Linked DNA regions of Tribolium castaneum. The protein of the gene in region 2 binds, or shares a complex with, the protein of the main gene of each other region. Links are inferred from orthologs where the notes say so. Each region holds a gene or a part of one and is shown on either strand. Other genes may lie near its edges.

Evidence for each region.
Region 1: Sf3b3 (region 2) and Prp38 share a complex: the UniProt entries of both Homo sapiens proteins name them as parts of the spliceosome B complex. The link is inferred for Tribolium castaneum from reciprocal best matches to the Homo sapiens genes SF3B3 and PRPF38A.
Region 3: Sf3b3 (region 2) and noi share a complex: the UniProt entries of both Homo sapiens proteins name them as parts of the 17S U2 SnRNP complex. The link is inferred for Tribolium castaneum from reciprocal best matches to the Homo sapiens genes SF3B3 and SF3A3.
Region 4: the proteins of Sf3b3 (region 2) and ATP-dependent RNA helicase DDX42 are in contact, whole or in part, in a cryo-EM structure (PDB 7EVN), measured with the Homo sapiens proteins. The link is inferred for Tribolium castaneum from reciprocal best matches to the Homo sapiens genes SF3B3 and DDX42. Residues at the interface, in NP_036558.3 of Homo sapiens: Glu159, Ala160, His161, Tyr211, His219, Val220, Val221, Arg222, Lys223; in NP_031398.2 of Homo sapiens: Lys145, Gly146, Ile147, Arg148, Asp149, Asp150.
Region 5: Sf3b3 (region 2) and splicing factor 3B subunit 4 share a complex: the UniProt entries of both Homo sapiens proteins name them as parts of the SF3B subcomplex of the 17S U2 SnRNP complex. The link is inferred for Tribolium castaneum from reciprocal best matches to the Homo sapiens genes SF3B3 and SF3B4.
Region 6: Sf3b3 (region 2) and Prp5 share a complex: the UniProt entries of both Homo sapiens proteins name them as parts of the 17S U2 SnRNP complex. The link is inferred for Tribolium castaneum from reciprocal best matches to the Homo sapiens genes SF3B3 and DDX46.
Region 7: Sf3b3 (region 2) and zinc finger matrin-type protein 2 share a complex: the UniProt entries of both Homo sapiens proteins name them as parts of the spliceosome B complex. The link is inferred for Tribolium castaneum from reciprocal best matches to the Homo sapiens genes SF3B3 and ZMAT2.

The regions. Positions count from the first base shown.
Region 1 is NC_087396.1:19,988,207-19,991,223, reverse strand, and holds Prp38 (pre-mRNA-splicing factor 38), read left to right. Parts: upstream 1-1,388; 5' UTR 1,389-1,554; coding exon 1,555-2,022; intron 2,023-2,068; coding exon 2,069-2,464; 3' UTR 2,465-2,517; downstream 2,518-3,017. Other genes in the region: vacuolar fusion protein MON1 homolog, read right to left, coding at 2,600-3,017. UniProt on the Homo sapiens protein: Involved in pre-mRNA splicing as a component of the spliceosome.
Region 2 is NC_087394.1:10,470,372-10,474,368, reverse strand, and holds the start of Sf3b3 (splicing factor 3B subunit 3), read left to right. Parts: upstream 1-1,197; 5' UTR 1,198-1,481; intron 1,482-1,749; 5' UTR 1,750-1,762; coding exon 1,763-2,199; intron 2,200-3,997. UniProt on the Homo sapiens protein: Component of the 17S U2 SnRNP complex of the spliceosome, a large ribonucleoprotein complex that removes introns from transcribed pre-mRNAs.
Region 3 is NC_087397.1:5,206,220-5,209,950, reverse strand, and holds noi (splicing factor 3A subunit 3), read left to right. Parts: upstream 1-1,177; 5' UTR 1,178-1,320; coding exon 1,321-1,416; intron 1,417-1,468; coding exon 1,469-1,675; intron 1,676-1,724; coding exon 1,725-1,797; intron 1,798-1,854; coding exon 1,855-2,168; intron 2,169-2,217; coding exon 2,218-2,354; intron 2,355-2,402; coding exon 2,403-2,742; intron 2,743-2,793; coding exon 2,794-2,995; intron 2,996-3,044; coding exon 3,045-3,178; 3' UTR 3,179-3,231; downstream 3,232-3,731. Other genes in the region: NF-kappa-B essential modulator, read right to left, coding at 1-902; neuropathy target esterase sws, read left to right, coding at 3,619-3,723. UniProt on the Homo sapiens protein: Component of the 17S U2 SnRNP complex of the spliceosome, a large ribonucleoprotein complex that removes introns from transcribed pre-mRNAs.
Region 4 is NC_087399.1:9,771,953-9,776,004, reverse strand, and holds the start of ATP-dependent RNA helicase DDX42, read left to right. Parts: upstream 1-1,252; 5' UTR 1,253-1,469; coding exon 1,470-1,885; intron 1,886-4,052. UniProt on the Homo sapiens protein: ATP-dependent RNA helicase that binds to partially double-stranded RNAs (dsRNAs) in order to unwind RNA secondary structures. Unwinding is promoted in the presence of single-strand binding proteins.
Region 5 is NC_087395.1:2,316,564-2,320,616, forward strand, and holds the start of splicing factor 3B subunit 4, read left to right. Parts: upstream 1-1,253; 5' UTR 1,254-1,401; coding exon 1,402-1,435; intron 1,436-1,500; coding exon 1,501-1,584; intron 1,585-1,634; coding exon 1,635-1,909; intron 1,910-4,053. UniProt on the Homo sapiens protein: Component of the 17S U2 SnRNP complex of the spliceosome, a large ribonucleoprotein complex that removes introns from transcribed pre-mRNAs.
Region 6 is NC_087399.1:718,979-723,154, forward strand, and holds the start of Prp5 (probable ATP-dependent RNA helicase DDX46), read left to right. Parts: upstream 1-1,376; 5' UTR 1,377-1,514; coding exon 1,515-1,528; intron 1,529-1,593; coding exon 1,594-1,767; intron 1,768-1,815; coding exon 1,816-2,654; intron 2,655-4,176. Other genes in the region: bug (thioredoxin domain-containing protein 15), read left to right, coding at 259-298, 347-1,092. UniProt on the Homo sapiens protein: Component of the 17S U2 SnRNP complex of the spliceosome, a large ribonucleoprotein complex that removes introns from transcribed pre-mRNAs.
Region 7 is NC_087395.1:20,717,154-20,719,737, reverse strand, and holds zinc finger matrin-type protein 2, read right to left. Parts: upstream 1,375-2,584; 5' UTR 1,258-1,374; coding exon 658-1,257; 3' UTR 609-657; coding exon of another isoform or gene 543-608; 3' UTR 501-542; downstream 1-500. Other genes in the region: uncharacterized protein LOC656218, read left to right, coding at 303-495, 543-608. UniProt on the Homo sapiens protein: Involved in pre-mRNA splicing as a component of the spliceosome.

The DNA.
Region 1 (3,017 bases), on a different chromosome or scaffold from region 2:
AAATTCGTTTAGTTTTATTTTATCACGGGTGGAAGCGGCTTTTCTGCGAGCGAAAATATTGCAGTCATGCCATTATTCCCCCCGATTTTTCTTGTTAGGAAGTTCGGCCTAAATCTTGTTATATTTAGATAGTGCCAACTGTCTTGTACAGCATTTTGGTCATTAGGTGATTCATGTAACCACATCTAAACATCATTCTCATGTGGAACAATAACATGCGTGTGACATTTTATGTTCAGTGTATTTCTTGTGCTTCTTTTGGTTTTGTTGCTTATGTCCGACTGATTAGAAACAAAATTCTAGCATAGTTGAGTGTAAAACTTTGTGATCCAATGGACTGAAATCTTAGGATGTGTTGGATTCGTCATGTATACAAAAATTTGCAAATATTTTAACGAATTTAATATTTTTAAGGGATAAATTGTAAATAGTTAAAATTTTATTTGATAAGTATTTATTATTTTGTTATTAATATACGATATATACGAAAACTGCAATTCTGGAAACTTGTACCTAAACAAAAATGAGAAAAACGAGTGTGTTAGGAGCATTATTTTATATTGTATTACAAACGTATATTATAAATAAAAAACTTAAATCATTGGAAATAAATATTCACGCCCACTTTTTAAGTTAGTTGGAATGTTTATCGGGCTTAAACAATCTAAAAAAATATAAAAACAAAAAATTCTTCGAAAAATAACTTATGTATATAGTCCACACGTTTGCTGCCTGTGTTTCACTGTTATTGTTATTGTATTCACTCATTCTGTTATTGTCTGTTTTCCACAATACAAACATTGCAAGACTTTCTACAGCAGTTGATTTTCAATTTTACTCCACTTCGAGGTGGTGAACGTGTTAAGTAATAAGTAAATAGACACTAAATTTATAATATACTTCTCAACAAACATAAAATAGACAAATAAAGCTAATGCCTAACTGTCTCAATGTCATCAATAAAGTTTTTAAAACGATCGCAAGTGTTTGAATCACCCAATCCCCCAAAAAGCAATTTTACATCTTTAACAATACCATCGATACGCTCATTTGGATGCGTTAATAATTTTCTACTTGCATAAATACTATTTATTAAATTATGAGCGTTTGTTCATGTTTAAATTAGAATGGTGTCTGGTGGTAATAACCAAAGTTACCAAAGGTTGGCACTTTTTGTGGGATTCCCACCCGCGAGTCACGCCTGGGGACTAGACGATATTAGCAAATAAGTTTTTATGAGAAATTCGGGAAACGTGAAACTTGTTTATTATTGAAGAACTAAATTGTTTCATACGTGTACTATTGTTTAATTTTGTAATGTATAACCTTAGCCTGTATTTCCTAATTGGATTATTCACACAGTATTATTTGTCTGTAATTTTTTTCACAATGCAAAGCAAAAAGTCTGATAAGAGCGAACCATTTTTAACCTCACTTTGTGTTTACTACAAGCGTCAACAATTTCTTAGAATTTATTGATAAACTGTGCATTTCTGTCGAATTCAGTTGTGCATAAGGTGCGTTAGTGAGTTTACAAATTAAATTAGGCCAATTATGGCAAATAGGACCGTAAAAGATGCCAAATCAATCCATGGCACAAATCCCCAGTATCTGGTTGAAAAGATCATCAGATCGCGAATTTATGACTCTAAATACTGGAAGGAGGAATGTTTTGCCCTCACTGCAGAGCTTTTAGTAGACAAGGCAATGGAATTACGATTTGTGGGTGGTGTTTATGGTGGCAATATAAAGCCAACACCATTTTTATGTTTGACACTAAAAATGCTACAAATTCAACCAGAGAAAGACATTGTAGTTGAATTCATCAAAAACGAGGAGTTTAAATACGTCAGAGCCCTCGGTGCTTTCTACATGAGACTCACAGGGTCGTCCTTAGACTGTTACAAATATCTTGAGCCTTTGTACAACGACAACAGGAAGTTGCGGCGACAAAATCGCCAAGCGCAGTTTGAAATTGTACACATGGACGAGTTTATTGACGAATTGTTACGAGAGGAACGAGTACGTGTTTTTTTTGTTACGGTAGATAGTAAAATTAATTTTTAAGGTTTGTGATGTTATTTTGCCACGCATTCAAAAACGCATTGTTTTGGAAGAAAGCAACGAACTCGAAGCCAAGATCTCGGCCCTTGAAGACGACTTGGACGAAGAGATTGAACTTGAGGAAGAAAACAAGTACGAGTTGGTTGAAGAAAAGCCCAAAGAGAAGAAAGAAAGGGAGAGGAAGCGGGAACGCAGCAGATCCAGAGAAAGGCATCGCAGTCGGAGTAAGGAACGCCACAAGAAGGAGAAGGACAAGGAGAGGGACCGCGACCGGGAGAAGGAGCGCGATAGGGAGAGAAGAGACAGGGAGAAGGAGCGCAAGGACCGGGAGAAAGACCGCGAAAAAGAGCGAGATCGTAAGGATAAAGACAGGAAACGGGAGCGAGACAGACACCACTGATTTTTCAATACATCGTTTTATACAATCAATAATTAAATACATCAACAAGTTTAGGATTGTGAATATCACAGATTAAGCCTATACCTTAGATTTCCACAAAATTTACATATTTATAATATATACAAATCAAATGGCTCAAAAAGTGGGCGCATTGAGATGAAACAACTTCTCCTCCCTTTTCTTAATCCAGTTCAGCAGCCGCCCCACTGAGTTAATCGCACTGTTTGTGTCAATCAAGGGCTCGAAAACTACATAAAGCTCAAAACCTCTCGTATCCCACGCCAAAATCGCCTCGTCTGAGTTTTTCTCAAATAACAACTTTAGCGGCCTCGTCGAGCAATGCAACAAGTTATGCGCCCGTTTGTACAACTTTGTTAGTCTCTCGTTATATTTGGTGTACGGTGGGGTCAAGCTTGGTTGGTAGAACTGTGCTGTACTTTTGCATTTGTACAAATAGTGCCTAAGTTCGGGGAAACCCGCAACAATGCAAGTTTCTTCTTTCGCACTCAGCGACTCATTGATTGCTTCTAAGCAGTTGCTGCGTCGCAGTTTT
Region 2 (3,997 bases):
TTTTCATAGCCAACTACTTTCAAATGTTTTAATATATTTTTATCATAAATATACAGCGTGCTCAAAAACTGGCGCACCAACTCAATGGTGTGTGATAGAGAAGTGGTTACATATAATGGTAAAAATAGTAAAAAAATTCTTTGTATTAAAATTATTGATAAATAACTAATTTTAAGTAATTGATATGTGGCAACGTTGTCTAATAGTCATGATCGCAATAGAATTTGAGCAACAATAAAAATAAATTATATTTGAAACGGTTTCCTAGGAAATAATTCCCAGTGTTGGCACATCTACACATTGTGATTTTTTTGGATAAATTTTAATTTTTTTATATTAAAAAAACTGCTAAAATTTGATAGTAAATTTTAAAATAATTGTTAATCGTTTTGTTACGGAACGATTACCTGGTATGAAAAATAAAAATATAAAAAAATAATAAAAACTAAAGAAATTAACACAATAAGTTTGTAGCTCCAGATTTTTTAAAATATAACTTTAGGAATTTTTTCAACATTTTTCCCGTAATCTGCACTTGCTTCTCAATAACGTACCACTGAGTTGGTGCGCCAGTTTTTGAGCACCCTGTATAAAAACATCAAACTATATTTATATTGTTTTGAGTTCAGAAAAAAAAAGCTTTTCGAAAATGTCATAGCCAACTATAATTCTCATTTAAAAAAATAAAACTTTATGTCATTACAGCTAAGCGAATGAGTAAAAAAAATCGCTGCTAACATTATTAAATTCTCTGTAAAAAAGTGCCTGTATAATGTTTTTGTTTTAAATATGTATCTTTTATAATAAGGAAGATATGATATCTTTACAATAACTTAAAATTTCATCAAACAAACGCATAAGACTATTACTGTAAATTGCATTGAACTAAAACTCTGAAAATTGTCCGGAAAATATGGTACAAAACAATAAGCTTTTTACTAGAATTTGGATTCTTATTTGCCTCAAATTGAGATAAACACAATCAAGTTCTAAATACAGTACCTACAGTACGGTAAAAACAAAAGATACATACTGGCAATATCAAACGCATAAATTGTTAAAGTATAATTTTGGCCAAAGATAATTTTCTGAAAAATTTATTTAAATTGAAATTTCCTCTCAATTTTCTGATTGGTTTAGAAATTTTGCGCTTGCGTAGTAAAAAATATAGCCAACACGCACGCGCAGTAGCACTACATTTCTTCTTTCCGTTTCCTTTCTCACTTCACCGGTGTTTGTGCGTTATTTTGCCGGTCTGTCGCCATTTGCAGTTAGTTTTTGTACTTTTTTGCTAAATAATGTATCAAAACATTGCAAAAGGTGCTTTATTATTGTTTTTTAATTAACTTAACCATCGACAAAAACGCTCAAATAAATAACCAAGTCACCACGTCACAACAATGTGAACCATGCGAAAATCGAAAATAAATGGTTGAAAAACTTTGAAATATTGAACGAAACGAAGCTCATCCACGTTCAAGGTAACAAAATTTAGCTTTGATTTTGTTTTATAATTAATCACAAGTACGTATTTTTGCCCAAATTAACGAGTTGCTTTAAAAATTTGTAATCGGATGCACTTGGTATCTCCTGTACCTATGTATTGTATACGTACAGGTCGTAAAGGGTGCTATATTATGGGGCACATCGCATCGTTGGCTCAAGCGAATTACCAAGCTAAAGCCTGGTTTTAGTGCCCCACATTTTCAACTAAAAAATGATACGTTCTAACCTCACTTTTCTTCCTAGATAAGCCCCCAAAATGTATCTCTACAACCTGACCTTACAAAGGGCCACAGCCATCACCCACGCCATCCATGGCAATTTTTCCGGCACCAAAATGCAAGAAATTGTCATTTCACGTGGCAAAAGCTTGGAAGTGCTACGGCCTGACCCCAACACCGGTAAAGTCCACACGCTTCTAACCGTCGAAATATTCGGAGTCGTCCGCTCGTTGATGTCGTTTCGACTCACCGGAGGCACCAAAGACTTCGTCATCGTGGGCTCCGACTCCGGCAGAATCGTTATTCTTGAGTATATCCCGTCTAAAAACAACTTCGAGAAGGTCCACCAGGAGACGTTCGGCAAATCGGGGGTCAGACGTATTGTTCCAGGCCAGTACCTAGCCACTGACCCTCGAGGACGTGCTGTAATGATAGGCGCCGTCGAGAAACAAAAACTCGCTTACATTTTGAATAGGTACAAATTTTTTATTAAAGTATTTTTGTTCTGTAAAAATTAATGAATGCACAAAAAACGTGCGGTCTTTATTAGTTAGTTTTGCGGAAAACTATTTTAGAAAGTTATAATTACATCTGCATCTGAGTGACATTTTTGGAGTGCGATTTGTGCAAAATTGTAAGTTTCTGTAAAAGAAAAAAAGTTTGTGCTAAGAAAACCCACCAGAAACTCAATTTGCGTTACATTTTACTCCAAAAAATGCAAATACGTTTTTGCAAAATTCTACGACCTGAAATGGGATATACCTACTTAATTAAAAACAAAACGAAATAGATTACCACAATTAAAGAATACATTATCAAGCCCCAGTGAGTTTTGTGTCAAATTCGAAACTTTTGTATAGTTTTACTGTATTAAAGAATGAATTTTGTAAAAACAAATAGAAATTGCTGTTTAAATTTTAAATGTGACAGTGCGGGAAAGCTATTTTTAAAATTTTTGGCAATCAGTTCTGCATTTAGACGGCTCGGATAATCCGTACGATTCTATTAACCGAACTCCCAAATTAAGTAAAATAGTATACATAATCCGAATTACCATTCATTTATTTTGACTTTTAATTATTTTGTCGAAAAAAGTATTTGTTTAAAATACACTATCGGACAAAAGTAAGGCAACATGTTGAAAAATATACAAATATTGGTATTTTAAATTTTAAGAGTTGGTATTTACCTTCAATTTAATTTTATAATAAACGTTTAAAGATATTCTTATTCGTGTTGAACATGGATAGCCAATGGGTAATTATTATGACATGCTACTAGCTTGAAATATAAAAAAGCCCGATATTAATGCGACAAAAGTAAGGCAACATTGTCAGAAAATATTTTCAACTCAAATTTTATTTGATTCAACATTTACATAACACTACCCAACACTAAAGTTTAAATAAATAGAACGAAAAATTCAATAATTTATGACATAGCCGTTATTAAGTATAATTTTTTGGCACCGTCTGGGCATTGAAGAAATTAATTTTTGAATAACATTTTCATCCAGATTTGACCACACTTCTTTGATTTTATCTATCAAAGATTGCTTGTTGGGAAATTTTTGTATCCGGATTCGTCGCTCTACCTCTTCCCATAAGTTCTCAATTGGGTTGAGGTTTGGTGATTGGGCAGGCCATTGCAAAACATGAATATTATTATTTTGGAACCACTCACTGACCAATGCAGAAGTGTGTTTGGGGTCGTTATCTTGCTGAAAGATAAAACGAAGAGGCATTTCCCATTCTGCATACGGCAGCATTACATCTTGGAGTATGTCCTTATGGATGAACCGATCCATATTACCCCCAATAAAGCTCAACGGACCCACACAATTCCACGAAAAACACCCCCACAGAAAAACGCTACCATGACCATGTTTAACAGTGGGTGTAACATACTTGGGGTTGAATCGTGTATTGATTGGCCGTCTCACACGTTTCATTCCATCCGAATTAAATAATTTGTATCGAGTTTCGTCACTAAACAGAACTTTCCTCCAATCTTGCTTTGTCCAATTCAAATGTTCTCTTGCAAATTGAAGTCTGGCGCGTCTATTTCTTTCGGAAATCAAAGGTTTTTTAGCAGGACGTCTACTAAAAAGCTTTGCTGCAACCAGTCTTCTTTGAATTGTTCGTGTACTAACTCCTACTTCCGGTATTTCCGCTATAATTTTAGATGCAGATTTCCATGGATCGTTTTCCGAAATTCTTTTAATGCGTCTGTCCATGTTTATAGTGGTTTTTCGTGGTCGTCCCGATTTTGGA
Region 3 (3,731 bases), on a different chromosome or scaffold from region 2:
AGTTTTGCGTTTTCTTTTGTTAAATTATCCAATTTTGATTGGAGGTCGGTGGTTGTTGTCTTCATTGACTGGATTTCGTCAATTAGGTCGCTTTCGCGATTTTTTGCGGCGAGAATATCCAGTTTAAAGTCGTCAATTTGTTGCTGCTTGGTTTGTAATTCCTGTTCAAGGTTCGGTACATTCACCAATTTTTGCGTCAGTCTTTCAATTTCTTCCTGTTTCAGTTCTAAATCCTTCATCATTGCTAATTTCCTTGTGTCAACAACTGAAAAGTTGGGGCCGTTGGTCAAATTTTCCAATTCCTTAAGCTTCAGTTTCAAATTCAAGATTTCTTCTTCATGGAGCTTTTTAAGATTGATGTAAACTTCAACGTCACTAACCAACTTTGCATTTTCTTCTTTATACTTATCTATGCACATTTTGGCATCGTTGAACTTATCTTTGTAGGACTTCATCACATTGGTGACCTCATCCCTGTAGGCCAAAAACCTCGTATACTGCGCCTTCATACTCATGTTATTTTGTGCGATGATATTCTTCAACTTTTCGTTTTCCTTAATCAGTTCTTCCACTTGTTTTTGAATCTCTTCATACGACGAATCCGGCGATATTGCAATACTTGCAACTGAGGGCACAATCGCATCAACAGCTGCTGGTAATTCTGGCAACGGATCAACGGTAATTTGTGATATTTTCATCCTGATTAGATTTTCCATTTCGTGAACCTTATTTGTCCTTATTGGGGGCAAGATTTCGTCCCTTGGAGGGCTGCAAGACAAACTTTCGCTGATGGAATTTGAAGTTTCCAAAACGACAAATGAATCTTCATCATCGGACCCGATTGACGGAACCATGGACTCTGCAGTGTTTTTCACAGCAACGAAGGACTCGTCACGACTCATTTTTGATGACTTTCAAGTTTTAACAACAGCTGCAGTACAACACTACATTTGCGGCGCAAAATAGAATGAATTAGAACATAGAATATGAAAATACCAAACTACTGACACACGATTAAAGACACTGCTACCAACCGGACCAATAAAAAGTCGCCTTAGCCTTAATTTAATTTTTTAAGAATATTAAAGCTCTAAAAATGTTATTGTGGCATAACTATTTACGTAAAATTTCATTTGGGACACAACTGTAGTCGTAAAAAAATTGTAAAGTCAAAGAAAAACCGCTTAGTGATTTTCTAGTGTGACAATAATGGTGCACCTCTCTCTTATTCTACGCTGACATTTTGTCATTTTTTGACAGTCGACATTTGATGGCGTCGGGTAAATAAATAATTTTCGCAATTTTCTAAAAAAAGTCGCAATGGAGACGATTTTGGAGCAACAACGGCGTTATCACGAGGAAAAAGAGCGTCTCATTGACGCAATGGTTAAAGAAATTTTACATAAAAAAACAACGGTAAGTTGTGATTCTCGTGGCGCTTTGCCCCCTGACAGAGTCTTTGTTTTAGTACCGCGAGGCAATAAACTCGGACTATCGCCTTAAATTTCTGCTAGACAAATATATGACCTCCACTGATCGTTTGATTGAGCTGTATGAGGACAAGGACGGGCAAAGAAAAGCGGAAGTCGCTGCCCTTACAGGTCCAAATGAGTTTCAGGAGTTTTACAATCGTCTCAAGCAGATTAAAGATTTTTACAGGAAGCATCCTAATGAGGTATAGTTTTTGAATATTTTGTGTGTTTGTGTAATGATTTTTTTCTCAGATAAGTATTCCAATGTCTGTTGAGTTCGATGAACTAGCCAAAGCGCGTGAAAATCCCACTGAAGAAATGGCAAGTGAGTCTTGCTAGGCTCGTGTGATCACAGTTGTTTAATTACGTTTGTTTTTTCAAGATTTGGTTGAATTTACGGATGAGGAAGGTTATGGGAAATATTTGGATTTGCACGAATGTTACGAGAAATATATCAATTTGAAAGGCATTGAAAAGGTTGATTATATCACATATTTGGGCACTTTTGACCAGCTCTATGACATTCCTAAAGAACGCAAAACTGGAGAATATCGCAAATATTTGCTTTGCTTGATTGAGTATTTAACTTGGTTCGTGCAAAGAGTCAAACCTTTGATGGACATTGATGCTGATTTGCAAAACGAAGTTGATAATGTTATGGTCCAGTGGGAGAATGGGACTGTTCCAGGATGGCCCGTAATTTGGTAAAAAACTAATTTATTTTTACTACTTCATTTACTTTCAGAAAGAGACAGGGTCGGCCTTGGCGAACGTTGGGGCCCATTTAGACTTGTCCGCATTTTCAAGTTGGGAGGAATTGGCTTCTTTAGGTTTGGACAGATTGAAGTCGGCCCTAATGGCTCTTGGTTTAAAATGTGGCGGGTAATTATTTACGTCTTGCCATAAATAAAATTCTAATTATTTATTTAGGACGTTGGAAGAGCGTGCCCAGCGTTTATTTTCAACCAAGGGCAAAGGCTCACTAGATCCGTCTCTAATGACTAAAAACAAATCTGGCAAAGCCAGTAAGGAAAAGGAGCAAATGAGACAAAGAGAACTGGCCTGTCTTGAGGCACAAGTTTATAGGTTGGCCGAGCTGGTCGCCCCTCAACGCGCGGCAACTAAGGAAAATGTCCAGAGAAAACAAGCGCGGACGGATGGTGAAAGAGACGATAGTGAAAATGAGGAGAGTGAGGAGGAAAGTCCCGATGAAGCCGACGATGACGTTCCCTACAACCCCAAAAACTTACCTTTGGGCTGGGATGGAAAAGTATGTGATTTTGAAAGTAAGTTGGTAAAATTGATTGTTTCGTAATTGCAGCCGATTCCATACTGGTTGTACAAACTCCACGGTTTGAATATCAGTTACAACTGCGAAATTTGCGGCAATTACGTCTATAAAGGACCAAAGGCGTTTCAAAGACACTTTGCGGAGTGGAGACACGCTCATGGAATGCGCTGTCTGGGAATCCCCAATACCGCGCATTTTGCCAACGTGACGCAAATTGAGGATGCCCTAGCACGTAAGAAGTTGCAATTTTGGTTTCTTACCTTGTTACGGTTGTTTTCCAGTGTGGGAGAAGCTCAAAGTGCAAAAACAGGCAGAGCGTTGGCAACCTGAAACAGAGGAAGAGTACGAGGATTCGCAAGGGAACGTCGTTAACAGAAAGACTTACGAGGATCTTAAAAGACAAGGTTTATTGTAATTTGTGCTGTATTAACAATAAGTATCAATAAAAAACATAAACAAAACTTTAAATATTGACATTTTATTTTGATGGTCGCCTTGGGAAGGGGAATTTTCGACTGTTCGTTAGCACGAACGTACAAAACTGAGCCCGAAATAGGGATAGAGAGAGTGAAAATTATTCCTGTTACTTAAGAAATTATTCAGTAGTTTCTGCGTAAATAAATAATAATTTAAGTACTCATTTAGCGTGTTTTTAGAGTTCGGTTGAATGCACAGTCGGCTGCAATTTTTCTCACTTACCGAACGATGCGCATTTGTTTGTGCCTGTGATTTGACCAGATTTGACTTTGACACATAAGTGGGTAAATTCATCCAAATAGGTTTGTGATTTTATTCAACCTTTAATCACTAATTCTTTAATCATCAGAGTCTAATTTCTATAATGTGCGAGCTAAAATGGACGTATTAAATGCGGTATACAACTTAAACAATGAAGAAACCCTCAAGTCCAGTTGGTTCGGTGAGGTCTTCTCGAGTTTTTCGACTCAAGAGACGTACCAGGTAAGAAA
Region 4 (4,052 bases), on a different chromosome or scaffold from region 2:
GCTGTCAGTGATCAGCTGACTGTCAGGGACCTAACCTCTAATCTGTGACCGGTGGAAAAAATTCCTAGATGGATTTTTTTAAAAATTGGGTAGACATATATTAAAAGTCCCCGAGGTTGGGGGGCGAGCTCGTGGAGGGGGAGGAGGCTAAAGTTGTCTTTTTTTGTTTTTTTGCCTATATCTCGGAAACGGTCAGTCTAGCAATTTTTATCTTCTTACCAAAATGAAAGTTAATAAAATTTCCTACAAAATGGTCCTAGCCTTATTGTTGTAGGATTAATCGTAAGCGAGCTACTAGCTTTTGAAGTTTGGTGTTCACATGACACTATAACTAAACATTAGTATATAATAAGTCTTTACATGGAAATAGTGTGTGTAAAGCGTCTCCCAACTAAGCTAAGAGTAGGAAATAAGGGAGAAAAAACTTTTTTCCCTCGGGCTCTTCAGTTGAAGTCCACAATTCAGCATCTGAAGATGATCCAGATGAACTGTTGGACTCAATTCATACAGTGTATTATCAGATTTATTCATAACATCTACATTAAATCATCTATTTATTAATATTTACTGAATAAGACTGTAATTCAGTTTTCAATGTTGGAGACGAAGACGAAAATGCAGCATCTAAAGACGACTCTGAAGACTTCTGTGACCCCCATGTCTCCCCCTTTCGACTCTAATGAAGTGTTGGACCCAATAAATTCAGTTTATTGTCAGTTTTTCAAATCACAAGACATTTTCTTTTAAAGCATTTTTTTTAAATGATTATTTCTTTCCAGACCTATAACTCGCTTATAGTTAGTCGCACAAGAAAAATGCAAATAACTTTTTTGTAGGAAATGCTATCAGCTTTAATTTTGGCAAGAAGATAAAAATTGATAGGAGTAACAGTTTCCGAGATATAAGCAAAAAAACAATAAAAGACTGCTTTAACTCCCTCCCCCTCCTCGAGCTCGCCCCCCAACCTCGGAAACTTTTGATAAAATATATCTACCCAAGTGAAAAGGAAGTTTTTAAAAAAAAAACTCCACCGATTTGTCTAATTTGACTGGACTATTGAAAACGAATGTTTTCACGATTTTTTCTGCCTTTCTTGAAAATCGGGGTGTTTTCCTTAAAAAAGTAGCTGTGTTCAATAGGGGCCTTCTTACTATTATCCATTTTTTCCTAGCAAATCTGGTTCTTTTTTTTGTCCCTGTTTCTTTTTCTTTTTGTGACACCTTGTATATTTATGTGATGCGTATTTTAGTGACTTTCACTTCCGTATTGACAATGATGGCAGCTTTGATTGTCAACTTGTTTGACATTTGTGCTTCTGGTGAAAAAAATTGTTGTTTTTGCAAATTGTGCGTCGCTTCTAACTTTATAAGTGCATAAAAAATCAAACAACATTTTCACAAAACAGTATGGTTGCCATTCAGGGGCCGAACTAGTGTTTTTGTGTGTGTGGGAGTTCCATAACCTCAATCATGAGTGGCTTCAACTACTCTGGTTTCCAAATGAACCAAAAGCGGCATAATGCCGTGCCGCCGCCCCCCATGAGTGGCGTAAGCAAGCAGGGCTATTCCACTATGAATGCGATAAGTCAGAATGCCTTATCTGCTGCTTGGGGCGGTAGCCGCAAACGGGCTGCCACCGAGGATGAGTATTTTGAGGACGATGAGGAAGAAACTGTGCCAGATCTCGCGTACATACCTGCCCCCGGCAGCCCCACGCGTGTCGAAACCAAGAAACAAGAGGTGCCAAACGATGATGATGATCCTTTAGATGCCTACATGGCAGGGATTGAAAAACAGATGAAGTCGGAGAAACCGGGCAGTTCGTCGCAACCGACTGGGGTTAGGAACGATTTGGAGGAGGAAGACGTTGAAGAATCGTATTATAGGTAATTAAATATCAAAACCCACAATAATAATTAATAACATAATTTTAATAGATAAAAAGGCAAAATAGTTTCAGCTTAAAGGCCTAGAGAAAATAGTGCCAAAAATACTCAGATACTGGAAGTATGTAAGCAAGACTTACCACAATTTTAACACGTACAATACGCCTAAGTTTATGCCCTTTTTTAGAAAATTTTGAATGGCAAAAGAGAAAACATAAAACTAAATTTTATATTGACAATTTCATAATGAAAAGTATTACGTTGAACATTAGTAGAATGATAATTTTCCTTCTAACATACCTAAATATTTTCTGGATTGGGTTCATTAGTTGTTATTATTATTATTATTATTTTGGTGGAACTATGGCTACATTGTGCAGTCGATGCATCTAATAATTCCAGAAAAACAAAATTTGCTATTAAACCTTTTCAAAAAAAAAAAAATTAGTCACTTGTAAATTTTTCTGCGGATTTGTCTAGTCAACTGCTATGAATCATAGCCCAAGAAATTTTGTGCTTCCAATGAATTAAAATTTTCGCGATAATAAGCTTATTTTTAGTAACAGAAAAAAAAATACCAAGCGGTTTAAAATAAAAATCTCTATCGATTGGCCGGTGAGTTTTTCATTTTGAAGTCTTAGTGTCTTTATACGTGTATTAGTCCGAAATCTTGTTTATTTAAATAGCCATAATTTATTAAGCACTAGATTTTTTAAAATTTTCTAATGGCCATTTTGTAAATATCATTTCTAAAATACATTGAGTTTTGAAACGATGTTGATATCTTTTCGAATGACCTAATTATAGCCAGAATTCTTTTACATTGAAAACGCCATAAGACGAATACGTTTGAACTAGCCTTAAGGCTATTAAAATTAAAACTCACTCATTACGAATAACATCTAACTACTCCAAATTTCTAGGAAATTTATCCCATTCGTTAAAAATTTGGGATTGATTCAAAGCCAATGTTTCTTCGGCTATTGCTCGATACTGAGCTTTGTGATACACCCATAAAATATTGCTGAATTAAAACCTAAACATTGTTGAATACACCTGTCAGTTCAGTAAATGCCAATTTACCTTAATGCGTATATTCATTGCAGTAGAACGAGTTTGCTGTTGCATAAAAGGTTCCGAAATACTTATTACATATTCAGCTAAATTTTTCGTTAAAAGAAAATGTTTTTTTTTGAAAATTTAATCGCTTAATTGTGAAGATGGATTTGGCTCCAAAAAAATGTTTTCTTGACTGCTGTCTTTCAAGTTGTTCAAGAAACAAATATTTCTTAATTTTCTTAATTAAACATAAGTAATTAATTTAGTTAATTTAACATAATTACCTAGTATCAACCATTAATTTTAATGCAACTTATAAAGTTGCCCGACATGAACTCGTATGATTTTTGAGGGAAATTTGATGCACACACATTTCAAGATTACAAAAATTGATATTTGTGCATTAAGATGCACCGCTGGAAATTGTAGAATACACTCCCAGGACATTCATGTTGAGGATCTTTATTATGTATCAGAGAAGCAGAAAGATTGTGATCAGATTTGACTATGGTTATGTTAAATTGTTTGTATCTTTTTGTAAATTGAAAAAAATTGACCAAAAATATTGTGAAATGTTATTATCGTATTACTTATTAGTTTGGGTAACCATAAAGAGAGTAACACTTTGCCGGAACCCAAAGAGACTTTTTTGTTTGTTGTTTCATTTCATCCGAGATTTTACTTTTTGAAATAATTTTTGTAAAGAGATATTTTTTATAAAAAAAACAATTGTCAGTACTTTTAAAAATGAGAAAAATTTATTTTTTAGTGGAAATTTATTTTCGTAAGAAATAAATTAATTATTTATCTTTTACCGGAAACATTAGGTGTTAATCTTGGTTAACGTACGGTCCCTCGAGGCTAACGGCCCTTTGGATAGCAAATTTATTGCCCGTGGTCATTAACACCCTTATATTTCCCTTGGTATATAAATAACTATTAATTGGAGTTGTATGGGTTAAATTAAAAGTGAACTTATGTTTGACTATTTGAACAATGTTTTTTAATTGTATCGTGAGGAAAACCACAGATATTTGATAATGTTTAACTCCTTTTTGAAGGAGTGATAAAGAAAAAGGGCGCTAGAAAAAGCAGTTGAGTGAAACCA
Region 5 (4,053 bases), on a different chromosome or scaffold from region 2:
CCTTATATTAAATCCAAAGCTATAGTTCATTTTTTTAAACAATCAACTGTCAGTGTCAAAATTCTAATAAAGACCAGACTGTATCACCCTAAAAGTTCATGTCCAACCACTTTTGAAACTGGCTGTATTCTGTATTTGACATTTTGAACACCAGATTTGAAATTTTTTGAAAATTGGACGTTAGTGTTAGTCGTTAATTCGTTAGTGTAAAGGTGGTCTAAAATAACTAAATGTGTTGTTGTACGTGTTTTAAATTAGAGAGAACTTGAAAAATTTGGCAAATGAATTTTCCAGGTAAAAAATTACACCAACCTTAATTCAAAAAAATTGCTATTTATGATAATGGCAACCTGACAGCTCTTAGACAGTTGATTATAAAAAAAATCGACTATTTTCGGTTCACTTTCATAAAAACCATTGTGGTGGAATTGACTAACCTGTTACCATGACAACTCATATAAAAGTTAATGCCAAGAGTACCAAATTTCCACCACAATGGTTTTTATGAAAGTGAACCAAATATATTTTTTAATGCGTTTTTGCATTACTGGAGTTATTTTAAGATAGTTTATATAAGCTTTCCCTATATTTAATCGTTTACGAAATATTCAGGGTTTTTTTTTTGGATTTGTACCTTCCAGTTTAAACATCGATAAGTATGCCATTTTAATTTTGCTTAATTTATTGTTTATTCATTTTGATTCTTTTCAAGAATTGTTTATACAGAGTGCTCAAAAATTTGCGCACCAACTTGGTGGTACTTTGTTAAGAAGCATGTGTACATTCCGGAAAAAAAATTGAAAAAATTCCTTAAGTCGTATTTAAAAAAATCTGGAGCTACAAACTTATTTTGTTAACTTCTTCAGTTTTCATTATTTTTAATGATTTTTATGTTTTACACTAAATAATCGTTTCCTAATAAAACGAATAATTATTTTTAAATTTACTATCAAACAGCAGTTTTTTGAATGTGATTTCATCAGAAGAATCACAATTTGTAGATCTGCCAACACTGGGAATTATTTCCTCGGAAACAGATTCAAAAATAATTTATCTTACTTATTGAATTTTAGAAACTTGTTTAGTTTATAGTTAGGGTCAAAAATAACATTTTAAAGACATTAAATCATCAAAAAAATTGGTAATAGTATGGTTTCTTTTTTTGGAATTGCATTTTAAATACAGCGCTAGTTTTGCCACTATTGCGCCATCTTTCCACCAATAAGGCGAGACAGTAGTGAAACGCGGCCGGCTTTAAAGATTCTTACAAGCAAAGAAAAGTTTGCGTCTAAGGTTTGCGTATTTGGTTCGTTTATTTATTTAATTAAATAAGCATTCTTTTATCAAGCGATGAAGTAAAATTTTGCTATTAATACATTGAGATATATCCATTTCATAATCATGGCTAATGGACCGATTGCTGAACGCAACAGAGGTAAGTTTTCGATTACTTAACCTCACAAATTCCAATAAGTGCCGGTGTTTTTTGTGTTTTTGCAGATGCAACAATTTACGTTGGTGGTTTAGATGATAAAGTTACAGAATCGTTATTATGGGAACTGTTCGTCCAATCTGGCCCCTTGGGTAAGCATAATTTTTGTAATAATTTACAAACCAATTTTTGTCCATTTTAGTCAACGTTCACATGCCCAAAGACCGCGTAACAATGATGCACCAAGGCTATGGTTTTGTGGAGTTCATGGGTGAAGAAGATGCTGATTATGCCATAAAAATAATGAACATGATAAAGCTTTATGGAAAGCCAATAAGAGTGAATAAAGCATCAGCCCATCAGAAGAACTTGGACGTGGGGGCGAATATTTTTATCGGGAATTTGGACCCCGAAGTGGATGAGAAGCTGCTTTATGATACATTTTCGGCGTTTGGTGTTATACTTCAAACACCTAAGGTAGGTCAGGGATGCTTATTTCAGTCTGTTGTAACAAAATTTTAAATAAAAACATAATTTAGTGTAAAAATACCATTTTCGACTAATTTTATTGTTTGTTTGGTGATATTGTTCAAAAAAGTTGTGTTGTTAGTACAAAAACACTGTTAAAGGCCAAAACTAACTATAATTTTTGGCTTGGTTTGATACATCTATGACCGATTTTTAACGAAAACTTGGGACATTGTTTTAAGTGACAAACGTGTTAATGCAAAAATTGGTATTATAAAATTTACATTACATTTGAAAAAAAAGTTAAAGGTGCCTGCAATTGACTTGTTTCCGGAATTTTCACAAAAATCGTATGTACTTATCAAAGTAATGGATTTTATACTTGTTAAAAATTCCACTCTGTATCTAATTCTGTAACTGACATTGGCATACCAAAATTTAAGCCACTATACAAAAATTCTTAACGTCGGAAGTCAGTGTATTCTGTCGCTCCTTTACATTTGCGTAAGTGAGAAAGAAATAAAATTTGGGAAATAATGTTGCTTAAAACCAGTTAACATAAAATTTATAGTTTTATAAATGATAATAAAGAATGCATGTTAAAGTGAAGGTATAATAATAAAATTGCAATTGTGCATTATTTACTTTTTTATCGAAGATACACTAAGTTAACATCGATAAAAGCGTTGTCTCAGCTAAAACTTTCGAGCCTGATATCTCAGATATTTGTCAACGGATTTTCATGAAATTTAAAATGCAGATATTTTAGAAGATAAAGATTAAAATCCAATTAATGCAAAAACTCAAGTCTTAAAAACGAATTTTTACATGCCTTTTTAAAATGTTAAGCCTTTTAAGACATATTAAAAAATTTATCGTCAGTGAAAAATGCTGTCAGAAAAAACTCGTTCGTGGAAGACATCTGTTTCGCGAGAAAAATGAGAAACAAACTGTTAAACGTGGGTACAGATGCAAAAGCGTAGATCTCTATGAGACAAATGAGCACTACCATCTCTCACCCATACAAAGTTAAAAAACAATATTTTTGACTTACTTTTGGTACTGGATGCTTTAATTCTTTCAAAAAGGACGAAAAGACTGAACAACAACTGAAAAATTCTAGACACTTGAACATTCAGGACTTTGGAAATGTTTCGTACACTGCTGATTGGATTCTCTTCAAAAGCTTGAATTACAGCCCCAACTATTGCTTCGTTTCCAGTGACGTGTTTTGTACTCACTCGATTTAGTTCAGGTACGCTTCCTGTGTCTTCAAATTATTGACGATTCTTTGAACTTGAAATTTCATAAATAACATTTCACAAAAAGTCCAACGACACTTTCCATAGGCGAATATTGATTCCTTTTTCAACAACACAGAAATCTCAGCCATTGGTTGGTTTTTAAAGTAATTTCACCAAATTAAAACAATTTTACTTTTCTGATAGCTCGCAAACTTTTGACAGTTTTTTTCAGTGGTACACAAAATGCCGCATAGAAATGCTTCACCAATTGTTTCAAAAAATGACTGCCCAAATTACAATCAAAATTTGGATTAAGTTTTTAACAACAAAATTAATTTCTTTCTTGGATCAGCCGATCGATTTGGTTAATTTTTTGTGTGGTCATTTATTTTTCGGAGTTTAATGATCCAACGGTAATTTGGCTTTATTTTAAACAAAAGAAATGTTTTAAAATTTCATTTCTTAACTTGAGGTCATTTTTTGCCCCTAATTGAAAGACAACCTCCTAAAATATGTGCATTCTAATTTGATAACAATCCGGTGACAAATAACGGAATTGTATATTGAAATGAAATATTGCTTTGTAACATCCTTCATGGCCTTAATAATTATAGACATATGGTAGCGCTCAGCTCCATTTGCGTGTGCGTCATCTGACATTTCTGTCACTACGTTTACATAGCAGGGGCATAGCGGTGACAAACTATCAAATATTTTTTGAGGTTACGAAGTGTTTAAATTATGAGTTGTTACAAAAAATACAGATTCACAAAACAAGAACTAATAAACGCAGAATCAAAAACCTAACGAAACGCAAATCACAAAACACAATAAACGAACAGAAAATACTTGTGATTAACACCGATAACATTTTCGACAACCAAGCGACGACGTCTGTAATTTACTGTC
Region 6 (4,176 bases), on a different chromosome or scaffold from region 2:
TAGCCTCCTTGATGTGAAATACAAAACTTATTAATTAACTTATTAATAAGTCTATACAAACGCAAGTTTAATAAAAAATTAAATTTTAATTTAGTTATTGGTATTAATTTCACGTAATTACAAAATAATTACGATTTCAAGATAATTTGCGCCGAAATTTGAAACGTCGGCCATCATAATTCGCCCGTTCTGTATTTCTGTATCGCTTGTTTTAACCCAACCAAATCAATAATTCGAAATGATAAAATAAGACACGAAATGGCTTTTTCTGCACATTTTTTCACATTCCTCGCGATAAGTAAGTGCCCCCTGATGATGTAACCCCATTACGTAACACTTTTTTTAGTCATAACCTCACACTTGACGTTATGTCAGGAGCCCGAAGTTGTGGAAGACATCTCCAGCAACCTCACCTCCTTCACCAACTCCACCCACAACGCAACTCTCACAAACACCACTGAATCATCCAGCAACAAAACCCTCAAACTCGTGCAATGTTTGCCCGATTTTGGGGCCCCCGAAGTCCAACTAGTCAACGACACCGAGCTCATTAAACTCCTCTTCACCCAGAGCAACATCACGAGCCGGGACACCCCCGCCGGGTGCATCCTAGTGCTGTTCTACTCGAAATATTGCCCGTTTTCCAGCATGGCAGCCCCCCATTTTAACGCTCTGCCAAGGGCTTTCCCCGATATTAAAATGGTGGCTATCAACGCGCTGGCTTATCGGTTGTTTAATACGCAGAACGGGATTGTGGGGGTTCCCACGTTAATGTTGTTTCATAACGGGAGACCCGTTGCTAAATTTAATGAGTCGGAGTATACACTTGAGCTTTTTTCCAAATTTTTGGCCAAACATACGGGGATTGCGGCTGCCGAAAAGTCAATTGTGACCTCGGCTGATTTCAAGGGGCCTGTCACCAGTGTCCCTGCGCGCGAATTTGATATTTTTTTGATCATTTCCTGGGTTTTTATTGCTCTGTGTGGGGCTTATTATTTCACGAAGTCCAAGTGCTGGGGGTGGATTGTTGAGACCATTCAGAGCAACTGGAGGGAGTCGGAGGCACACGCCCAGCATGAGCATGCCGATTAGGCCCTTTTTTGTTTAAATAAATTATTTTTATTGAATTTAATTGCGTTTTATTTTGTTGTGTGTTGAGTTTGTACTAAAAAAAGAAAATTGGGACGGAAAAAAAGTAAAAACTTCCATATCTTTTTTTTTGATAACATTTTAAGCCTTTTTTTAATATCTAAATCCTAGTTTTAAAACACGTTACCCATAGCAATATTTTAAAATAATTTTTTTGCCTAAAAGTCGCAGTTGGTATTTCTACTATCTCGAAAAATCCCCAAGCATAAACACAAAAAACACCAAATCTGGGGATTTTCGATCACTTTCTTTGTCAGATTACAGAAAACTGTAACCGTGTAAATAAAGATTAGGTTATGTTTGGGGCACAAAATCTTACTTTTAGTTGATTTAGGTCCAATTTTAAGAAAAACTAAAGACTTACGATGGTTCGGGGCGGGTAAGTGAAGCTATAATAATTTTTTTTGGCCAAATTGTCTAACCAAACTTTTGCCCCTTTTGAAGACGCGACAGGAGCCGTTCTCCCGACCGGAAGCGGCGCCGTTCGCGCTCCAGGAGCAAAGACAGGTCCAGGTCTAGCCGCCACCGTCGAAGTAGGTCCCGAGAGAGGCGCAGCAGGTCCAGAGACAGGAGAGAGCGTGACAGGCGTTCGTACAGTCGAGACCGAGACCGTCGAAGGTTTGTTTAATTTTCACTTTTTCCTGGATTAAAGTTGGAATTTCTAAGAGGTGACAGTAAGGAGAAGCGCAGTTCTGGCAAATCCAGACGTCGGGACAAGTCCAGGTCTCGCTCCAGATCCACAGACCGGAAGAAGGATGATTCAGGTCTGGCTTTTGATCCGGCGAACCTTGACAAGGAAGAAGAGCAAAAAAAGTTGGAACTTGAGATGCAAAAACGCCGCGAACGCATTGAGCGTTGGCGCGCCGAACGCAAGAAGAAAGAGGAAGAAATGAAGAAAGATGCACCAAATGCAACCACAACAACTGACGAAGCCACTGCCAAAAAATGGTCCCTAGAAAACGACTCCGAAGACGAGGATAAAGACAAAGGCGAAACGAAGGAGGATCAAGTCGAGGAAGAAACAAACGGGGAAGCACCGCCACAGGAAGAAAAACAAGAAGCGAAAGAAGAGAAAAAAGAAGAAGAAGAAGAAGAAGAGGAAGTCGATCCTCTAGACGAGTATATGAAAGGAGTTCAAGAAGAAGTGAGAAAGACTCACAAACTTGACATGAAAAAGCCCAAAACCGAGTCCGGGAATAAAAAAGGTGCCTTAGTTATTGTAACAGGGGTGGCCAAATCCAAGGTTAATAAAAACAAAGGTGAGTTGATTGAGCAGAATCAGGACGGTCTGGAGTACTCCTCTGAAGAGGAAATTGAGGACTTGAAAGACACAGCTGCGAGTATTGTTAATAAGCAGAAGAAGGAATTGGCGAAAATTGATCATAACATGGTTAGATATTTACCGTTTCGGAAGAATTTCTACGTAGAAGTGCCCGAAATTGCCAAGATGACGCACGAAGAGGTGGAGGCCTACAAGGAGGAGTTGGAGGGGATTCGAGTCAAAGGTAGGGTTTTTGAGTTGAATGCAAGGTTTTTTCTACTACTGCCTAAATAAAGCAAAAGTTGTTTTATTATTTAACACCCAGTGTAGTACAGTATAATCGTCGATTATTATTAATTAATTTTTAATAATTCGTGGAAGAAAATTGTTTTTCAAACAGTCGACGATAAATAATGATTTTCTGAGGCAATGTTTGTTGACTTTTAATGTTCTTTATTAAATAGTAGGCATTGGTAAAAATACATATAAAAAATAATAGGGGGGAACAAAAATATCTTAATAAAAAAAAGAACAATACAAAAAAAGAACACAAAAGACGGATGAAGAGGCGAAGTTGTGACACAGGTGTTCCACTTAATATTTAATATTAATTATTAAAAATTATAAAATAAAATGAAACTGAATAATTAATAACTAAATAAAAATTGTCTATCGACAAAAACAAAGAAACAAAATAGAAAAAGAAAGAAAATTTAATACAACATAATCGGAACCAATTATGGCAATATTTTGGAATATTTATTGTTCGGTTGACTATAAAAATACATATTCATTAATTTATAATAATTTGTCGGAAAAATATTTCAAACAGTCGACGAAAATTGGTAAATTAATTGGAAAAACTAATTTATTTAATAATTATTTGAAACACCGTTTGTTGACCTTTAATTAATGCTTTATATTAAATAATAAGTATTGGTAAAAATACATATAAAAAATTATAGAAGGATTATAAGAAAGAACAATATAAAAAAGACAATAAATGGACGAAGAGGCGAAGTTTTGTCACAGATATTCCACTTAACATCTTAAAATTTAATATTAATTATTAAAAAATATAAAATGAAAAGAAACTGAATAACTAATAACTAAATAAAAAGTGGCAATCAAGCAATAATAATTAATTAATAATTAATAATAATTATTACGAAAATAACATTCTTTAAGAATAGATTTTTATCTATTATCAATCCCAGACTTTTAGTCAAAGAGAAGCTGGAAATATTTTTGAAATAAACAGCTTTCATCTATTTCTGTCTTAATATTTGTCAACATTACATAATCATTCCTTTTGTAAGATCAAATTTCGATAAACTGTGATTTTGTGTTTTGAATTTTTTTTCTAAACACAAATTAAATCACATTGTCGGCCGGCCATTACAATTATTCATACACATCGAAGACGAAATTCTAGTTTTATGGGCGGGACCTGTTTATCGTCTGATTTGTCCCCGACTAATTTATCTACGGCACAAAAAACTGCAACACGATTAAGGTGTTTGCCATTGGTTATTGATGGACTAATGCGCTCCCAACTACAAAACAGGCCAATCACAAGGCGATTAAAAAGGCGACAAAAACTGGTTTTATTATTGGGTGCTACTTTCCCTGATTTCTAAGAATTGCTGCTGAAAATTGCAAGCTGAAACTACAGAGCAAACAATTTAGCGACCAAACATTTACTTTTTGTAATTGATTATTTGGTTAAGAAATGATGTTTTTTCGCGCTTTTGCTTTGGATGCCG
Region 7 (2,584 bases), on a different chromosome or scaffold from region 2:
CAAAAAATAAAGATATTTTCACACCACACGCCACTGCGTTTTAACGCGATTACATCGAAAAGTTCGTTACGAACTTTGAAAAAATCGCCAAATTAGCCAAAAATATTGTTTTTACTTTTTTCAAGCCTTCAACAAGTTTTGGAGCTAAAAAGTTGAAAATATGCAATCAAGTTTGGTGCAACGGCAACTTAATAAAATATAATTAACATTTGAATTTAATAGTACTTACATGTTACCTTTGAGTGTTACGAAACTTATTTAACATCATGGGCTTCTTTGATCAAATATTTAATTGTTTTCAGGGCTTACAAAGACATAGCTGACTGTTATTACATCAAAACTGCGAAAGTGTGTGGAAACAGCGCTGCAGCAACAACTAAAGAACTTCTACAGTCGATAATTGACAGTATTCTCACAATAAGCTGTGACAATGTGAAGGAGACGCCCAAAGTCAAGGACCCAATGCCTGAGGAATATATGAAAAAAGAAAATAAGGCAACTTGTTCCTTCACATTTATTTCATTTACAATTATTTTTTACAGGCTGACACAATGATTCTTCCAACTGTACTTCACTTACTAGTTAGCATAATATTGATTTTTATTTAAACTTCAACAAATCTAAATTATTGTAATAAAGGTATTGAAAGACATTTTGCTACTTTTTTTTAGACGATCCAAAACCTGCAAATCCCATAATGCTAGCAAGCTCACTTGCTTGTTCAGATGTTTCTTCCAACATTTCCTCAGCTTTTCGCTTCTCTTTCCTTTTCTCCCTCCTGTATTCGCGTAGCTTTTCCTCTTCTTCGGCAATTTCCTGCATGCGAGCTGCCATATCGTAATCTTTTTTCTTCTCCTCCATTTTCCGCTTGTTTTGGTCAAACCTTCGTTTAACTGCGTCCAGACTGCTGCGTTCGATCCGCATCGACATTCCCAAGTTTCGTTGATGCTTTTTGCCATTGATGTGATCCAAAAAGTTGATTGAATCTTTAACAACACAGTCGCAGACGTTGCAGTAGTAGCCCCCCGATTGTGATGTTGGTGTGTTTTTGTTTATTACAATGCTTTTGCCAAGCTTTGAATCCAGGTCTACTTTATACTCTCGGGTTTTTAGCATTTCACGTTTCACCGGGGGGCCTTTCTTTTTCTTGGTTTCTTCTTCGAGGCGCTCGATTTCTTCCCTCTTGCGCTCCTCGGCTAACCTCTCGTATTCGTCCCTGTCCCATTTTCGGCGGTGGTCGTCTGGTCGCATAGTCATTTCTGATGATTTTTCTTTAGCAGGATCACAATCAATTAATAAAAACTCAAGTACAATAACAGTGTTGACAAACTGCAGTACACATTGACAGCTGTCAAATTTTCAAGGTTAGGTTATGTTGCTAACTTCATAAGAATAAAGGTTCATTTTCTAATAAATTGCGAATTTGCGCCATTCAGGATGTTTATATATATCATTAGATTATTACAATTGAATTCATTAAACTCATAGAATACTTAATAGATTTTTTAATTTTTTGGTTATTCGACTCTGCTATTACATCTAACGAAGTTAGCTGGGTTACCTGTTTAAAAATTTAAGATGGGAAAAGATCAAAAAAATCCCGTAATCAAGACAATTAGTTATTTATTTCAATTTTTTTATTAATTTTTAAAATCTAATTCACAGAATCTTTCGTTTGCAATTTTTCAGTCTGTGGCTGTTCAAACTACCACTACGTTATGAGTTAGTTATAAGTTATAAATACCAAAGAAAAAGTGGATAACTCAAAAAATTTAAATTTTTAACAAATTATTATTTTGGGTAGGCAACACAATATTCAAATGGCAGCCTACGCAACTAATTATACAGAGTGTTCCAAGTTTTATGGTCGAAGCAAAAATTAATATTCTAGTCGAGTACAAATAAATTAAATTAATTTAAATTACAAAAAATCAAATTGAATTTAATTCAAAATTAAACTAATTCAAATTAAGTAGCATTAAATACATTGACAAATGTCGAGTTAACCGCGATTAAAATTTAATTGCAATTAAAATGTTTTGTAAACCGGCGCTCTTAGTCTAGACAATTAATTACGCTACCATTTGATATTTTGAATGTGGTCAAGTATTAATTGCTGTGAAACATTATAAACCAATTTTTTAAAATAAAGTTCAAGGTGTATTTTCTATTATATGATAAAATTCTTTCAATATTTAAAACCGTAACTGCTAACATAGAATTATACGATTGTTGCCAACTTTTGAGTAATATTATTATTATTACATTATCAGAAAATTCTGATGTGGGCTCTATTCCACAAACGACTTTTACACTTTGCGCTTGCACGTTCCCGAACACCTTTATGTTCCACCAACAACAGTATTTTGCACACTTAGCAAAAAATATACTTAGCAAAAATACTTCTTTTTACAAAAATATGCCAAAACAAATGCAAAGATTGGTGGAAGACATTAACTTTAAAATTTGCAATTTATGCAAAATGCAAAGTTGCAAAAAATTTTAGTGGAACAAGGTGATATTTAGTGATTAAGGTGATATTAAAAAAAATATCAATTTTAAAAAGCCGATTATGGCGAAACTA